Linked DNA regions of Cricetulus griseus. The protein of the gene in region 1 purifies or fractionates together with the protein of each later gene. This does not show direct contact. Links are inferred from orthologs where the notes say so. Each region holds a gene or a part of one and is shown on either strand. Other genes may lie near its edges.

The links. Proteins that work in one complex are often made in the same cells at the same time.
Region 2: the proteins of Rsl1d1 (region 1) and Larp7 purify together in Homo sapiens (affinity purification with mass spectrometry; 3 studies listed by BioGRID and IntAct, with this or other methods). This does not show direct contact. The link is inferred for Cricetulus griseus from reciprocal best matches to the Homo sapiens genes RSL1D1 and LARP7.

The regions. Positions count from the first base shown.
Region 1 is NC_048600.1:35,513,523-35,517,630, forward strand, and holds the start of Rsl1d1 (ribosomal L1 domain-containing protein 1), read left to right. Parts: upstream 1-1,308; 5' UTR 1,309-1,365; coding exon 1,366-1,464; intron 1,465-2,238; coding exon 2,239-2,375; intron 2,376-4,108. UniProt on the Homo sapiens protein: Regulates cellular senescence through inhibition of PTEN translation. Acts as a pro-apoptotic regulator in response to DNA damage.
Region 2 is NW_023276806.1:31,269,396-31,273,689, forward strand, and holds the start of Larp7 (la-related protein 7), read left to right. Parts: upstream 1-1,494; 5' UTR 1,495-1,632; intron 1,633-1,896; exon of another isoform or gene 1,897-2,081; intron 2,082-4,294. UniProt on the Homo sapiens protein: RNA-binding protein that specifically binds distinct small nuclear RNA (snRNAs) and regulates their processing and function.

The sequences.
Region 1 (4,108 bases):
GATAACTCAAGCCCAATGTAACAATTCACTGCAATATGCTCAAAGTCTATCTTATTCTAGATTCTAAAATAGATTAGTAGAAGTAGGTTCCAATGACTTTTTTCAATGTCTTCTACAAGTTGCTTAAGACAAGATCCTTATTAGACACTAGGAGAAGGACATTATTCTTTCATAGAAGAAGCACTTTTGGTAAACAATTGACAATAGAGAACATTCTACTCCCATTTCTTGGAATCTCCCAAAAATTCACATACCTAGCTGCGAAAAGCCTGTCACTATCCTTAATATCTACCCAACAGCTCCTAAGTAAACTATGTAGCAGTAATGGTTCAAGGTGGTGTGGGGAACTCACTCACTCTTGTAATCCTAGCATCTGGGACGCAGAAGAGGGGTTCCTCAAGTTTCAGGACAACCTGGGCTAAATATTAGCAAGATCTTGACTAAAAGAAAGCGGAGCATGTTAGTGCACACCTTTGACCTCAGCACCAGGGGAGGCCAAGGCAAGAGGATGTCTGTAAGTTCGAGGCCAGCCTGGTCTACAGAAAAGAGTTCCAGGGTATTTAGAACTCCATAACAGAGACCGGGTCTCAAAAACCAAATCAAAATAAAATTAAAAAGCACGGTACCATGGTACTGATTGAGAACAACCTCGAAGGCACCGGCAACTACTCTTACTTTAAATAGAAAACTTAATTGTACCTATTCTTAAAGAGGGGGAAAATAAAGTATGCTTCTAACAGTTTTGGAAAGTTCTAGGAGGTGGTGTGCTCTGCAGAAGGGAGAGAAGCAGGAAAGAGACATTCTGGAGTTTTCCCCCACGCGTTATCCCGCCTTTACACTTATTGGTAGTCTAGGGGCTTACCTGAGCCGACGATCCTGGGAAACCAACTTATCTTTTCGTTTCTCACGCAGCTTCACGCGCCTGTCATTGGCGGTTCCTTATTATTTCATTGGAACACCCCCAATTTGGGGAAAGCCACACCTGAAGCCACGACAGGGTGGAGGAGCCACGGCTTCCCGCTCTTCAGAGGACCGACCGCACCGGGTTGAGGACAGGGTTCTAGTCTCTCCTCAGGACGCTCTCCCGCTGTCCTCCGTGGAGGAGAGACAGGGCTTGCGAGGCCTATAGACTTAGAAAGAGCCGGACGCAAGGACAGGTGGCGGCTTAGCGATGACTCTGGCCATTGCCGGTGCCTCACCACCAACTACTCGGCAGGAAAGCTCTGGACTCGAATTCCGCGCCCTCCCGGAAATGACGCACGAGGTCTCCGGCCAGATCCTACCCTCTGCCTTCCGGTTCCGGGCCTCGGGCCCGCGCGTGCGCAGTTATTCCTAGCTCCCGTGGTCTACACGAGGCGAAGAATCATGGAGGGGTCATCGTCTGCCTCTCCCGCGACTTCAGCCGACACAGCGACCGCCATGCAAGCGACCCCGGCCGCTCTGGAACATCTGGACCAAGAGCAGGCGAGTGATTTGGAGGACAGCGATTCGCAAGTGGGGTAGTTAGGGCCCGCGAGAGCCGCGGGGTGTGGAGAGAGAGGCCTGGATATTCAGAGCGGGCCCGAGACTGCGTGGGAGCCCCGGAACCCGAAGGAGGTTGCTGAAATGCACCCCTGCGGGTTCGCTTCCCTCAGGTCTATGGCCTGTTTGCCTCCTGTTGGAAGTGGGCTTTTCTGTGCTCCATTCTTCAGGATTCCAAGACATTTGCACGAGCGAAAAATAGGGTGCTCAGGGACGGGCACATGAAGCTCAATAGCTGCTCCCAGCACTATGCGCTTTTCCTGGCTGTTTCCTCGCTCGTGGAGGGCAGGAGAAGCTTCGGTATATATAGCTTGCTCTCGTAAGTACAAAGGACACCTTGTAAACAGATACCGGAAGCAGGTACTTGGGTGTTCTTGATGGAATGAATCTTAAATTGCCCTGGGCCCAAATTCTTTTTTTTTTTTTTTTTTTTTTTTCGAGACAGGGTTTCTCTGTGTGGCTTTGGAGCCTATCCTGGCACTCTCTTTGGAGACCAGGCTGGCCTCGAACTCACAGAAATCCTCCTGCCTCTGCCTCCCGAGTGCTGGGATTAAAGGCGTGCGCCACCAACGCCCGGCTGGGCCCAAATTCTGAGAGACCAATACGCTGATTGAAATTTGCCCCCCCAAAAAGAAAGAGGAGCAAAGGAAACAAATATGTTTGTATATAATATGTATATGGGAGCAATGATTAACCTAAATTTCTGTATCTCTGCAGATTAAAAGGGCGGTAGAAGTTCTGTTTGCACACTCCAAGTCAAGGAAAAAAAATGAGTTGCTTATGAATGGGAATGAGAATTTATTTTTAATGGTGATATTATGGAAAATTCCAGCGAAAGAACTGCGAGTCCGAGTGTAAATTCTAAGTTCTAATTTATCTGTTTGTTTTGATTCTGTGGCTTGTCTGTCTCCCCCCCCCTTTTTTTTTTTTATGGTCTCGTTACAAAGGCTTGCCTGACTCCAAACTTACAGGAATAAATCTGCCTCTTAAGTGCTGGGGTTAAAGGTGTTCACCAATGTGCTCAGCCTTTAAATTTTTGAAACTTACTTAGCGTGTGTCTGTCCAAGTATACAAATATGTGCCACATATGTCCAGAGGCCAAAAAGAAGGTGTCAGGTTACCTGGATCTGGAGAGAAAGGTTTTGAGCAGCCCAGTGTGGGTACAGGAAACAGAAATCAAATCACAGCAAATGGTCTTAACTGCTTGAGTACCTTGGATCCTGCTTGAGAGCCCTCTCTCAACCCCCATATTTTGGTGGGGGTTGAGACAGGGTTTCTCTGTGTAGCTTTGGAGCCTGTCCTGGCACTCGCTCTGGAGACTAGGCTGGCCTCGAACTCACAGAGATCCACCTGCCTCTGCCTCCCGAGTGCTGGGATTAAAGGTGTATACCACCAACACTCATCCCCATATTCTTTTTATAAGTTATTTTAGAGTGCTGGGCAGTGGTATGTAGAGTTGGTAGATATAGCAGAATTTAAAAAAAACAGTTATGTTGGTGTAAGTGGGTCCTGTGCAAGATTGGAGAACCTCTTATTCTAAGAAAAAATAATTTGTGGTCACTCTCAAAGTCTTACTTGACAAATCTTAGATGTTATGTAATAACATGCTTGCTCTGCTTATCAAAACCAGTATGTGGGGATATAGCTTTTTTTTTTTCCAAAAAAATGAGGGCTCAAGGAGCTTTAAAGAGGAAAGACATTTGATTTCCAAATTTTTGTGTGTACAGAAGCCTGTGGGAGTCAGAAAAGATCAGATCCCCTGGAAATGAAATTACAGATGGCTATAAACTGCAATGTGGGTGTTGGGAGCCAAACTTGGGTTCTCTGAAAGAGCAACCAGTGCTCTTAAATGCGGGGCCACCCCTGGAGCCCCTACATTTTAACATGTGTCTGTTTGTAAACTCGTTTTCATGTATGTGAGCACATGAGTGTGGTGCCAGGGGACATCTTTGGCTGTCTTCCTTGGAAGCATCATCCACCCTCTCTTCAGGAAGGTCTTGTTTTGTTGAGCTCATTGAGTAGGTGGACTAGTTGACCACCAGAGTCCTGCAGATCCTCATGTATTCGCCTCCACCTGAGATAACTAGTGCACCAACCTCTTTGACATAGATGCAGGGATGAACACGGATCCTTGTTTGTACAGTGAATGCTTGAAGCTCTCCCTGGGCCAAAGAATCTGGGTCTTTCTTGTGTTAGGTAACTGCTCTACAGTGAGCTACACTCCCAGCCCTCTGTTAAGACAGGGTTTCTCTGTAGCTTTGGAGCCTGTCCTATAACTCACTCTGAATACCAGGCTGGCATCAAACTCACAGAGATCCATCTGTCTCTGCCTCAAGAGGATTAAAGGCATGCCCCACAACTGCCTGGCCCTCTGCATTCTTTATTCCCACATCTTTGCTCAGTTTTTCACCTTGATTTATGTCACTTGTGGGAAGGTGTCGACCCCTCTCCCCCTGGTACTTTTGGCATTTCTTTTTCTGTCTTTAAAGCTGGAATTATAGGCATGCATCACCACACCTTACTTGCTTTCATTCAGACCAGGTCCCAAAAATTGTTGTTCTCTGAACCCACATATGTGCCACACATC
Region 2 (4,294 bases), on another chromosome or scaffold:
TGGGTTAAAGGTGGAGCTGAAGGCCAGCCTGGTAGCCTGGTCTGAATAGACAGCTAGGACTGCATAGATTAGAGAGACCTTGTCTAAAAAGGAAAGAAAGAAAGGGGGGTTGGGGATTCTAACAAAAAAACGGCATGTTCACTACTGACAATCTTGAGTATTTCCAGTCTACAGCTGGCTGAATCTAGTTAGAGGGCTGACTACATACCTTGGTCAATGTAACACAACACCAAAGGACCAAATACACATTATTTAGTACCTCTGCAAGGAAACCTCCTTTTCTTTCTTTCTCCAGCTCTAGGGGCTAACAACAGGGCCCTGTGTAAGCTAAGTAACAATGCTTCCACATGCCCAGTCCTTTTGTTTGAAACAGGATTTGGCCAAGTTGCACAATCCTCCTGTCTTGGCCTCTGGTACTCTGGGATATTACAGGCAATGTGCCACCACACCCAGGAAGAAAAATCTTTTGAACAGTGTTGCAGCAGCCACTTGAACTATCCTGTTATCTGAAACCCTCGATGACGAACTGAATATAGGTGCCGAAGAAGCACACAAAAGAGTACACATATGTTCAAGAGGTTCCGTGGACATGACCTGATCATTACACGAGAATTAGTCAGTCATGCACATTTTAGGTCCTATTCTTCATCTATTAAGTTAGAAAGCTCCGGTTCTGGAGCTCAACAAACGGCTCACAAGCCCCCTTCAGTGATGGTGACTCACAAACCGGAAACAGTGTGCGCCGAGGCCTGATCCCTAAGCAGCGCGGCACAGGAGGAGCGCCAGAGGGCGAGGTGAGCCATAAGGCGGGAGCCGTCAGTAATCGGATGTGTGTGTGTGTGTGCAACCTTCCTTCTGTTCGGCTGAGAGCAGGGAGAGCTTTCCGTGAAGACAGCGGGAAGCCTGCCATAGCCTTGCTTTATGAGAGAAGCCGCTGCAGTAGCTCAGTGACAAGAGCATTCGCCTCGCTAGCACCAAGTCCTAGGTTCGCGCCCCAGCGCCGCCCGAACCGCGACCATCCGGTCAAGAAACCCCCAGTACAAATAACTAAGAGAAAAACATTACTTTCTCTTGCCGAGCTTGGTGTCCCTAAATAACAGAGGAGCCTTGGTCCTTTGCCAGCCCCCAAACCAACCACGACCAGGCTGGGGCTCGACGGCGACCGCCTCACCCGGCATCCTAACGGCGCCCCGTGGGCCGCTTCCGTGGAGGCGAGTCCGAGTCCGTGCTCTCCCGACCGTGCCAAGTCGCCCGGCCCATCCACCACCTTCACTCCCTTTCAGAAAGCCGTCACTTCACCTCCTCAGGGACACACATTCCACTTTCGAATTTCTCCCGCGAACTGGCGTGACGTCATCAAGCAGGGACGCCGCCGCCGCCGTTCGCAAACCACCAATGGAATTCCTCCTCGGAGGGCGGCCACCGCCTTGCTCCCTCCCAGACCCCGCCCCCGGGAGGCGTCGCCCGTGACGTCAGCGACGGGAGCCGCAGCTCGGACGGACCCTTCCACAGTGGGCTGAGAGAGGCGCGTCGCTCGCCGGATGACGCAAATTTACGCCGACTCGAAGGATCGGGAGACAGAAAGCGTGGAAGAAGGCAGCCGCTGAGCGTGGATTTGGGGACGTGACCAGAGTAAGTCACAAATGGCCTGTGGGGCCGCGCAGACCCGGAGAAGCGTAAACTCCTGAGTCCGGGCTCCTCCGGTCATCTGTGGTCCGGCCCACCCCGCCCCCCTCGCCACCAGTCCGTTGGTTTGGCCTCTCCGTGCGCACGCGCAGTCCTCCGGCGGCGCTTGCAGTTCCAGTGTTCGCACGGAGGGGGCGGGCCGAGCTTAGTGTCGGCAGGTTCGGGGCACGCCCGGCTTCTGGAGCGTGGGGTGGGGGGGTGGTCGGTGCGGAAGTCCAGTTGCTGCGTGGAGCTGCGGCCGCTAGCTAGCTGGGCAGGTTGCGGTAGAGCTTCGGCTTCCCCAGGACAGCGGTAGTGAGGACTTGCATCCTAAAATTCAGTCTTTTCTTTTGCAAGACCTTTAGCCTCCTCTAGGAAATGCGTTTTAAAGGAGGAGCTAACAATAAGCGGTGAATGTAAGTTCTGAGTGCGTTTATGAGGAGCTAAGGGGAAATCTGAGTGGACAGTTCACCGAGACTGGAATTCCTCAAGAATACTACTACATTTAGTAGTCCTTCGAAGCCGGGCCGTAGTGGGAAATCGGATGGTTTTCCAAAGCATATTTACAAGGTTCATTCGGAGCAGTGATCCAGGCCACTGTGGTTTTGCTACCTTTGAATAGTCTTGCCATGACTGTAACTTTGGTTCTCAATCTTTTGGGTACACTTCTTTTTGTTCATAACCTGAAAAATGTCATGGCCAAGTTTCTTTGGAAATTTTGCATGTACCCATTTTGCGTATGATTTTAACAAGCAAAAAAAGCTACTTTGAAATTGAAAAAAACAAATGTTTGTATCTAGTAGAGTTTGCCTCCAGATTACCTATCGCATTGACTGTTTTTAAACAATGTTACAACTTTTTAACTTTTAGAAGAGCAAGAAAAGGGAAATCATGTTTGCCCCAGGAGGATGTAATTAATTACTTCCCTGACCAGTGTCTGTTAACATTCATTTCAACTTTCTACTGCATATTGATCTGGTCTTTGCTCCTTTAAATGGATATGTAGCACTTAATTTTGCCATATTCATTTTTGTATTTGTACAAGCATAGTTTTACCTTTTCTTTTAAATTTATCTTATAACCGTCTCATGGGTTCCTAGGATTTCTTGAAACTTGCCTGAAACATCATAGACTTCAGATTAAGAATTCCTGAATCAGAATATGATATGAATAGTGACAGATCGTAAAAGCTTCTACTAAAAGGCAGGCAGTGGAAAAGTCAAACATCAATGTTTGCTTACCTAGCTAGCTTTGACTAAGTTACATAACCTTTCAGTAGGATTGTCAAGATTTAGAACAATGTACATAAAGTAACTGGCATTGTTTCACTTTTTCTTTTTTTATTCTTTGTTCCAAGACCATTGGGGGAGTGCTTTCACACAGGGTTTCTTTGTGAAACTCTGGTGTACTGAAACTCAATCATCTGCCCACCTCTGCCTCCTGAGTGCTAGAATTAAAGTTGTGTGTCACCACACCCATTTAACAATATTTAAATATTTATGATGTTGCAACCTTAGAAATTACTTTCACAAACCATGTCAATGTTATGAACAGGTGACAAACAGACGTCTGTAAAGCATAGATGACTTCTAGATCATGTTTTAAACTCCTCATATTCTAATGGCAAGTGTGGAAAACACTAAATGAGGGTGAGAGCCATTTCAAAGACCAAATCGGTAGGATTTAGTGACCAATTGGTAAAGAATAACATGGCCATGTGTTGTGCAGCTGTTTTTGTTTTGTTTTGAGAAATTTTTTAGTTTATATATGTATGTGTGTCTGAATGTATGCATGTATTTCACATGCCCACAAAGGTCAAAAAATGCATTGGATCCCCTAGAACTAGAGTGATAGGAGGTTGTGAGGTTTGTCTTTTTTTGGTTTTGGTTTTTCGAGACAGGGTTTCTCTGTATTGTTTTGGAGGCTGTCCTGGAACTCGCTCTGTAGTCCAGAGCTGGCCTCTAACTTACAGAGATCCACCTGCCTCTGCCTCCCGAGTACTGGGGTTAAAGGCATTCGACACCAACCAATGCCTGGCGTTCTTGTTTTTTTTAATAATTTGTTTATTTTTATTTTATTTGCATTGGTGTTTTGCCAGCATGTTTGTCTGTGTGAGCTTGTCAGATCTTGGAGTTACAGGCAGTTGTGAGCTGCCATGTGGATGCTGGGCCTTGAACCCAGGTCCTCTGGAAGAACCTTCAGTGCTCTTAACCACTGAGCCATCTCTCCAGCCAAGGTTATGATCTTTGCCGTCAGTGCTAGAAACTGAACCTGAGTCCTCATGAGCAATGAGTGTTCTTAACCACTATGCCATCTCTTGCAAACCTCCCCACATCTGCATTTTAAGTGCTTAAATTGCGTTTTCTTTAATTGATCTTCACAGTAACTCTATTATATATACAGACAGATTTGTGTCCACATTTTATGGACCACAGAGATGAGGAGATTTGCTCCAAACACATACAGAGCTTGCTTGATCAACTTTGTGGGTTATGGTGTTAGCATTACTGAGGATAAATAGGCTTTGGAAAGAAAGGATATGTTTTCTTTGGGATGTTATTGCCATAGAACCTTGGGAAAGTACAAATCGAATTAGGAGTATAGCAAGGACTGAGGAATAGTTCAGTGG